Linked DNA regions of Saccharomyces cerevisiae S288C. Changing the gene in region 2 together with the main gene of any one other region gives a genetic interaction. Each region holds a gene or a part of one and is shown on either strand. Other genes may lie near its edges.

The links.
Region 1: mutations in PEX18 (region 2) and PEX21 impair growth when combined (synthetic growth defect), as found in Saccharomyces cerevisiae (3 studies listed by BioGRID, with this or other methods).
Region 3: mutations in PEX18 (region 2) and YGR035C together harm fitness more than expected from each alone (negative genetic interaction), as found in Saccharomyces cerevisiae (2 studies listed by BioGRID).

The regions. Positions count from the first base shown.
Region 1 is NC_001139.9:968,533-971,977, forward strand, and holds PEX21 (Pex21p), read right to left. Parts: upstream 1,522-3,445; coding exon 655-1,521; downstream 1-654. Other genes in the region: KEL2 (Kel2p), read right to left, coding at 1-155; PFK1 (6-phosphofructokinase subunit alpha), read right to left, coding at 2,239-3,445. UniProt on the Saccharomyces cerevisiae protein: Receptor that mediates peroxisomal import of proteins containing a C-terminal PTS2-type peroxisomal targeting signal via its interaction with PEX7.
Region 2 is NC_001140.6:418,708-422,073, forward strand, and holds PEX18 (Pex18p), read right to left. Parts: upstream 1,366-3,366; coding exon 514-1,365; downstream 1-513. Other genes in the region: TDA11 (Tda11p), read left to right, coding at 1-356; YAP1801 (Yap1801p), read right to left, coding at 1,666-3,366. UniProt on the Saccharomyces cerevisiae protein: Involved in peroxisome biogenesis and the import of peroxisomal matrix proteins that contain the peroxisomal targeting sequence PTS2. Required for peroxisomal targeting of PEX7 and growth on oleate.
Region 3 is NC_001139.9:556,572-559,477, forward strand, and holds YGR035C (uncharacterized protein), read right to left. Parts: upstream 852-2,906; coding exon 501-851; downstream 1-500. Other genes in the region: 60S ribosomal protein uL24 RPL26B, read left to right, coding at 1-101; YGR035W-A (uncharacterized protein), read left to right, coding at 994-1,215; CAX4 (dolichyldiphosphatase), read right to left, coding at 1,578-2,297.

The DNA.
Region 1 (3,445 bases), on a different chromosome or scaffold from region 2:
ATGCCTCTATGCTGGTTTGGAGGTAGCGTAGGTGTTACTATTCGCGTATTGTTTCGATTATCCATAAAAACTATTGGTCTGGGTACACTTTGCGCTGAAATCAGAGAAGGTCCCGTGTCCGTAGGTACCTTATTTGTCAGCTTGAAAGGTACCATAGCTACTTAAGGGGTTGCCTGCCTCATCCAAATCATTTTTTTTTTTTGTTACAACCTATGCTAAAATTCACGTGTACGCATTTCAAAATTGAAAAAAAAAAGAGCAAGCAACACCAAAACCAAACTTCATAATAAATTAGTATCCCAAAAGACCCTTTCACAAGGTAATTACTTCCTTCGAGACTAATTCGGGTTTTGCGAAGCTTTTTTTTTTTTCTTCACAGTTTCTCCCAAGAGAAGAAAAAATTCACAAGCGTGTCATTTCGTGCAGCTTACATCAGCACAATCCATGCACAAAAAAGGTGTAGTAAGTTTTAAACGAGAGAGATGGGCATGACAGTAGGTAGGGCATGCATCTGCAGGAGTGAAGCTGCGATACTCCTCAGCGCAGAGAACACATAAGGGCACATATTCATGATTTTGATATTCTTAGCTATCTGTAAACATATATCAACGTATGTAGTAGTTACAAGAGGTACAATTGTAGAAACTGCCTATATCAATCAAGTATGTCTTTGTGAATTTCGTCCTTGACGAAAATGTGCCTGTTTCCGACCAGTTCCCCGTTGTTGGATGAGAATAACTCGCTTGCGGAATTTCCATCTGCATTTTTCTTTAAAGTCACGTCACCGCTACTAATGTTTCTCATTAACTGAATAAACTTCGACTCAGATAGTTTTGATTCGACAGAGGAGGAAAGAGTAGAAGAGGAGGATGCAGACGAAGGCGGTGGAGTACAGCATTTTACTATATCTGTGGCAATCCTTTGCAGTTCCGACTGATCTTGGTCGAACCATTTCTCGTCCCGACGTGTTATGGGCTCGTACCGCTCTTTTTGAATTTCTCTCTCCAAAACTTGGAACTCCGCGTCGAATTGAAACGCATCCGTTGGGTTGTCCCGGTTTCCTTGGCGTTGCTGTCGAAGCGTCTTTTGAGGTGGGTAAGTGCAACTTGTCTTCCTTATCATACAATTCTTAAAAGGTAAGTGTTGTCTGCTTGAATTCAGGCGCTGCTGTGACTCGTAATTGGAATACAACCTTTTATATTCTGAGCTAAACTCTAGTGAATCGTCAATCTTCATAGACGAGAACTGCGGAACCCAATCACTGGAATCTACAGTGTTGTTTGGAGTAATGAAGGTTAATGGAGAGGGTTGATTTTGATACCTTACATTGTCAATGCCGTCAAAATTACTACCATTATGCAAAAAGTGTTTTTCCACATGCGAGTCTTCAGTGGCATAGTGTGCTGTTAATTCCGTATGGGCCAGCTTGGTGCGTTTTGACGGTATTAAGGAATCATTCTGTATGCGATGCCCTTGTTGGATAATCTTTTCTATCGGGCTTGTATGGCAGACACTGGGCATGGTATTCTAGTTTGGTCTTTATAATTTTTCACCTGTTTCTTTTTGAAACAAAACCAAAGTATGCGGCGTCAACCTTGACTATATTCTCTTAAATATATATCTGCCGTTCTATCAGAGGTTTGAACATTGCCAATGCCTTAAAGAAATATTTAGTCATCCCATCTCCGATTATCGGCACTAGTTTCCATTTTTCCAGCGGAAAGATAAAAAGAAACGGAAAGAAAAAAGGCCGACAAATAAACCAAACGGTATTCGTAGACCGATGACAATACGACTACAATTAAGGTAGCGCGCCTCACTATGATGTGGATCAGCCTCACATTCAGAGCAATTTGTAGTACAGCAAAGTTGCCGATGTCGTCTTCGTGAACCATTGTCAACGCAGATTAAGCACACCCTAAAACTTGAATAATGCAAATTCCATAGCTTAGTTTAATCAAGGCGCCATTATTCCTCAGTTGAAAAGTATATCTAATGGTTAGGATTAGAAATATGTTCATTGCTCATTGTTATGTGTATCATATCGTACAAAAATTATATAAAGAAATAATAATGAAAAAGAGTAAAACAAAGACAAATAGACAAAAATAGAGGATAGAAAAAGAAAAACAACAGATACATAAATAAGTCTTATGACAAAAAAACGATTGTATAAAAATTAAAGTGCATGCCATTTTTACCTCCTTTTGCTTAACTTAAACTTTTCATTGCAATCATTCATTTGTTTTCAGCGGCTAAAGCGGCTACCTCAGCTCTCAACTTTAATCTACCGGACAGGATGTCACCAATCTTGTTGTATTCAGCCCAGTGAACTTCAAAACCCTTTCTTAATTCAACGTTGGTTTCGTTTTCCCAAAGGTTAGCAATTGGCTTGAAGGAAACGTGAGAACCATTAACACAGATAACAGCAGCAGAGTCATCTTCGTGCTCAACAGTTGGTACCTTTTCACCGTGAGTATCGAACTTGAATCTCAAAACCTTAGCGTCAGTGTTTGGAGAAGCTTCATTTTTCTTGTTCCATTGTTCGATAAACTTGATACATTTGACAGCAAATCTGGAAGCGGTGACACGGTCTTTAGAAGATGGAACACCACCTTGTTGAACATGGCCTGGGATAGCAGTTCTAACACCAAACTTACCCTTGCTTGCTTCAGAGATGATGTCAGCCAACAATTGAGTGCTATATACGCTAGAAGCTTGTTCGTTTCTAACCAATAGCTTACCGTTTCTGTTTTCACCTTTGTCGTGACGAAAGTTCTCTTTTAATAGAGTTATATCTTCTCTGATAGAAGCTAAGTCGATCTTCTTTTCTGGAGTGTACACTGAAACAGCACCAGTGATTAAACCAGTGAAAGAAGCGATGTAACCAGAGTGACCACCTTGGACTTCACAGACGAAGACTCTTCTTCTTGTCGCAGAAGCACTCTGTTTGATGTCATCAGTGTAATTGACTAATGCGTTCAAACAGGTATCAACACCAAGTGAGTATTCAGTACCTGGAACGTTGTTAGAAACAGTGGCTGGAATCAAACACATTGGAATGTTAAAGATTGGGTGTTGGGTTCTACCGTCACGCAATTGCTTCAAGGACCTGAAACCTTCAAAACCACCAAGAATAATCAAACCGTCTAGCTTGTTCTTTTGGAAGTAGTAAGCAATGGTACCCAAATCTTCTGAAGCAACAGATCTGTTCGTACCGATTTCGGAACCACCCAAGTTATGCCAGTTTTCGACATCAATCCATGATAGTTCCTTCACTTCACCGGTTTGAATCAATCCACTGAAACCATTCATGATAGCGTATGGTTTATGGCCGTGAGACAAACAGTATAGAGTTGCGGCACGGGTGGCAGCGTTCAAAGCAGCAGATGGGGCACCAACATGGACAATACCAATGTTTAGTCTGTCAGATACTGGCAATAAT
Region 2 (3,366 bases):
AGGCCGGATTACTCGGTATAGAAGAAGAAAACGATAATGATGTTATTACTGATAACAGATGTGATCCTGTATATAAAAGCGATAGACAGCATGAACAGAAAAAAAGTACACATAAAATTACGAACCGGGGGCAAGCAGAAGATAGTGGCGACGATTCTAGTTTAAACATGAGGAAATTTAAAACGACAACTAAGTTCCAGAAAGACAATGCTGGGAATAATAGTCTCACAGATGAAAGTGGACATCGAACACGAGAAAAAAAAAGTAAAAGAAGTAGTAACAAGCTAAGTTTTATTGGAGAACCCGATAATGATAATTCCTCCGTCAAAAACTCAGTTGAAATGACAGACTTCTAATTCCTTTTTCAAAATGACGTTTATTCTTCACTTGTCACTCTTTTTACGTATAGCTGTGAACGCAGTATGTAATTTAATACTGTTTTCTCTTGAAAGTGGTTAAAAAGTGTTATATATCTGAAATTCATGGTTTAAATTAAAGAAATTTCAAGGCCCGTTAAGCAATTCTGTCTTCAACATCATGGAACTCAAGACCAGCCCAGTTTCCTGAATTCTGAAAACAAAAACCTACGTGTTTTTGAAGGTTTCTTTCTGTACCGTTATCCTTCTTTAAAACTATAGAACCATCACTAATGCTGCCCATCAGCCCCATAAACTTTGAACTGTTTAGTCTTTCTTTTACATCTTTATTGGCACTATTATTATCGCAAAACTCAATTATATCGGAAGCCAAACCTTTCATGGCAGTTTCTTCATCTTCCAGACTCGTACCTGAATTTTCCTCTTCTGTATGGACATCTTCTTCCAAACTACTGGCTTCCAGTTCCGAAAATTCAGCATTAATTAAAGAATCAATGTGGCTGTTGATAGGATGTTCTAAACCTGTTGTCTTGAATATCTGATGGTCAACCACAGGGAAGGAAGCAATGTTAAAGTTTTTCTGTGAATAAAAGCCTAAGGGAAAATCTGTCTGAGATGTCCGTAGCCCGTTGTTTATATTAAGATTCGCGATTTGATTTTCGATGGGCGGTTCAACATTCTTAGGGAAGTTATATCTAAAATCCTTGGCCCAAGAAGTTTCATTGTCATTTAGATTTGGCGCTTCAAATTTGTAACTTTGATCCTCTAAGGTTCTAGGACGAATATTTACGTAGGACCGTGATTGATTCAAATCTTCTGAGTGTTGTAGAAATTTCAGCTCAATTTTATCCTTCAGAATCGGTGGTGAATTCAGTCTGCTCCCGATTTTGTTAAAAGAGAGCGTATTGTCCCTGCCCGTAAAAGGCCCCTTTTCTGTACTACTAATAAATTTATTCACCTCATTCGTTTGGCATCGGTTACTATTCATTGTTTGTATTTTATATCATTTGTCCATTGAAGTTTAGACAAGTATCAAATACCCAGTTTTCGTCTTTTCCCTTATATAGGTCGTCTCGGAAATAACAATATAAACTCCATGGTGCGGCGCTATCGAAATCTTTTGTTGGCGGGAGGAATTGAAGACAGTAAGATGTAAGTATTACATACTATAGGACAAATGCAAAATATGTACAAAATGGCAAAAATTACATAGCTCTTCCTTACAACTATATATAGCTATCCAAAGATGCACTTGAGTACTCCCTTACATACCTGATTATACTAGATATTACATATCAATTAAATTGAGGTTGTTAGCATATTGGTTTCCTAAAACTGGTTGCTGTGTTTGAGACTGTTCCGGTTGTGGTTGCTGTTGTGGATAGAAAGGGAAATTTTGAGGTTGAACTGTCCCAGTTATATTTGTAACAGGGTTGGCTCCTGCAGTTGCAGGCACATAATAACCCTGTTGTGGTTGCTGTTGTTGCTGTTGCTGTTGTTGCTGTTGCTGTTGTTGCTGTTGTTGGAGATGATTCTGAGTGTAGTGAGCCTGAAATTCCATTTTATCAAAACGCTGAGGAATATTCATCGATCCCTGCATGCTAGTAGGGGTTGTCATAACGCTATTGATCGAGCTCAAAGGCATTTTTTGTTGTTGAAATTGTTGTTGATTGTACGTTTGGTTTTGAAAAGGGTTACTTATTATCTGTTGTTGTAGCGGCATATTGGTATTTTGTTCATCAAAGTTTGGTCGTGAAAATGGGTTATTTAAGACATTTTCGTGTGCAGGATTCCCTGTTGCGATCGTCGCGGCGTTGTGCAATGCGAACGGGTTGTTAGAACCAGTTTGTGAATGAGAGACTTGTTGATTAGAAGCGGCAGTTGTATCCTGTGAAACGGAGTATCCTCCAAACCCTGCACCTGTAAATGTGGGTGTTAAATGGTTGTTAATCGAATAGTACCCCGTTTGTTGGGCACTTACGCCAGCATCTTGTACAGGGTTGAAGTTCACTGTGTGTTGGACCGCTGCATATTCAGGAACGTTTAAATTTGCGGGCTCTGTATGAGCGGTTGGTGTATTCATCACCTGTGGCTGAGTTTGAGATACAAATGGGTTATTTGCGATCTGTTGCGTTTGATTAGCCACAGCCATTGGAATGTTAGTATGCATAGAAGAGTCTGTTCCAAACGGGTTGTAAGATTGAGCCGCCGTGACAGTAGTTAGAGCAGGGGAAATCGCTACTTGTTCGTTTTTCAATTGTGCCTCTAGTATCCTTTTTTGTTCCCGGATTTGCTCCAACCTTTCCTGTGCAGTAGATTTGGCTACTACGGCCCCAGCACTTCCTTGAGAACTGTCAACGGGCACAAAAGTGTTGTGCGTCTTATCATCCTCTATCAGATGTTCTTCTAGCGATCTGACCAGTTTGGTAGTGATATGCTTGATGACGGGTATTTTCAAGCCCGCAGTCTTCCCGCTCTTCAAGTACCTGACAACGTGCTCGGTCAAATCAACAAACGTCTTGTACAGGTCTAGAGTTCTCTCTGCATTATGATGAGATAGTTCGAAAAAAGACTCCAGCAGAGTTATGATACCTTCGTTGAGAGCATTATATAGCGCTAGCAGGTCTTGAATAAGCAGCTTGAAACCAAATATGATCAATTCGTTACTCAAATCATATTGTGTATACTTGTTTTTAATCAGGGCTTGTATTTGTACCTCTAGGGACTCCACATGATCTAGTGCTATATTGATAGAGTGTTGCTTGTTTCTGGAGCTTCCGTAATTGCCACTGTTCAGCTTCAGTGTTCGATAGCCGTCTCTCACATAGTCCTTTTTGATTTTACCAAACTCCCTGCATCTCACCTTCAGATAATTATCGTATCTATCAAGTGCCCTCATGTCTCCAGACGCACTGCCATTGGAGCCACGTATGTTTTCAATGTCAAAAAACTCCAGGTTCCTAGAGTAGTACCGCAATGCAACATCTTT
Region 3 (2,906 bases), on a different chromosome or scaffold from region 2:
TTCCAATTAACTTGCACCCATCCAAGCTTGTTATCACTAAGTTACACTTGGACAAGGACAGAAAGGCTTTGATCCAAAGAAAGGGTGGTAAATTGGAATAAACTAGCTCGACTTTAACATAGATCATACAAAAAATACAATAAATAAATCCTGTGTTTCTTTTATGTATATTTTTTATCAATTTCAATTTAGTTTAGTTTAGTTTCTTTAAAAATAAAATTGTAATTTCTCACATTCTGCCTTCGGGTCTCAAGGGCTGGTTGGTAGACGAATGCGCTTGTTTCTAGCTGAGCGGCAGATGCATGAATTCAATGCAAGAAAATGAGAAAACTTCCAATATTAAAATGTGATTGTTAATTATTAGTATATTTATGACAATATATATATGTACATAGGGTGATTATGAAGATGAGTAAGATGCGAATGGATATGAGGATATGAATCTTTTTAGAGACAATGAAGATGCAAAGAAGTAGTTAAGCACATTGACCTCAGGGTTGCTATATGCTACTTTTAGTCCGTTGGATTTCTGAAGCAGTATTGGCCACAAAAATTTCTTCATTATTTCTACGATTAGAGTTTCTTCTGGATTTTTCTCGTCCCTGAGACTTACTCCTTTTCAAGTCATTTTCAGCAGCAGCTTTGATTAAATCATATCTTGTGATTTTACTTGGAGAGCTATTGTGATGGGAACTTTGTCTGCATGTGACTGTATTAGTCAGAGATGTTATGGGCTTAACCATAAGGGAAGAAACTATGGCACGCATGAATGAATTACTGCTTTTACTGCTGTCATCTGTTGAGTTTGCTGAGTCTTCCGTTCTTGTAGTCTTGGCTGGTGTGAGTAACATTACGTATTGTTTCTGTAGAGAAGATAACTTATAACTTCCGTCTTGTCACTAGTTGTTTTAATTATATGTTTGTTACAAGTTTTTATGTATAGATATATGTTACAACTTTTAGAAGTATTGTGGACATAACAGAGAGAAGGGAATGTTGCTATATTTATATATTTTATATATTGCCCTCAAAACTGTATCTCATCTTTTTTTCTGCAATCCTTGCTTTCGTAATCTAAGTGTGGGTGACATGCTAAATCCGCGGCTTTCCTTAAGCTTTTTCACAAACCATCTATTATGTCCAGAAGCTCCGCTGATTATCCGTGGAAAAGGGTCTTATTCTGCCGTAGGAAACTTCTTCTCGAGAAAAAAGTGAGTTCACCCGCGGCGCTCTCGTAAAACCCGAGGGCCGATTCTTTCCCTCCGTGGAACAATCGGCCCCGCGGCGTCAGAGGGTATTATCTCCGCAAGTGATAGAACTCACATTTATTCTACGTTCTGCATGGTTTTGATTATCTTCTTTTGCACGATGTCACATACTTTTTCGATTACCGTCGCTTTACACAGTAACTGTTTAAAACGAGCGTTCTTAATTAATAACTGTAGGAGAGCAGGCTTTCGGCTTTCTTTATGAGAAATAAGGACTACTCCAGCTTGCCAAGTTTTATCCAGTTACACAAACGCTCAAGATCGCCTCGCTAAAATAGATGAAAAAATAAGAAAAATGAAATGTTCAACCTAATCCCTTTTGGATTTATCATTGAAAGATCGCTGATTTATTCTTTTCCAATACGCCTCGTAATTCTCTTTCAATGTCAAAGGCGCCAGATTGTAAGAATCTGTCATGTAAAATAATCTGACAATACGTAGTTTTAAAAACCAATTGATTAAACCAAGCTCTCTTATGATGCCAACTATAAAAAAATAAAGTGATCCAGTCAGTGCCCCCACGCTGAATCCCACGATTACTTGATCTAAATTGTGGTAGTGCAAGTAAACTCTGGAAAAGCAAACGCAAAACGATAATAAAGCCAATGCACCAGAAAAAATGCATTTTTCTAAGAAGTTTAGATTCTTCCAGGAAGTGTATATCTTCAGAGAGTTATAGGTAAAACAAAACCCCATGAATTGGGAGTGTGCACTGGGCATCCCGTAACCGGATCTTATAGTGTCATTTTGGAACGACGCACCGAACGATACGGGGCGTGGCTGTTTTATTATATTCTTGATCACGTTATTGAATATTTCGTTCATCAATTGGCCAAAGGCTACAATGCAGGCTTCTAACTCTCTTGTGATGATAAACCACGACAAATAAAAAGCTAGCACTAGGATGGGCATCAGCGAGAAATATGCACTAAGGAATGATAGAAAGTCATGCGAATCATAGAGAATGTATGTGTCATCGAATGGTATAACATTTGGATTTGGATTTATTGCAGCGGCGGTACTATTCATGATATGATCCGATTCAAAACAAATTTTGATGTAGATAAAATGCCTGGTATAATGAGTGGTAGAGAAGAAAATTAGACGAAAAGAATGAGAACGAAGAAATGATTTAAAGTGATCACAGTGGCAATCACTTTCCCCTTTTTAACGCGTGTTGAGCAATCGATTGATGTCTCTACCATATGTAGCATTTTCTCAGAAGGCAAACTTTTCTTTTTCTTTCTACTTTTCCAACAAGAAATTTTAAGTTTTCCCAGAAACCCGAATTCTCCTATTTCATCCACCACGTAAGAACGGTTTTCTTCCTGGCGTAATTAAAAGCATAAAGAAAAACTGAACAAGCTCTAGATGTAGATCAGGGTATACATGGTGCGCTTCAGTAAGTGTACTGTACCACTAGTTTGGCGTCTGTCACTTGAATTGCGGATTTGTGTAGAGCAATGAAAGCGCTGCTTCTGCCGCCATCAAAAAAAACTGAGTAGTTATTAAAGCCTATGTATGACAATATAAAAATGTATACAGATCAGTCTGTATATAAATCATGAAAATATCTTTAAAAATTTCAAGAGCGTGTTTCCGCTAAACCTTGTCATATTCAACACAAATCAGTATCAT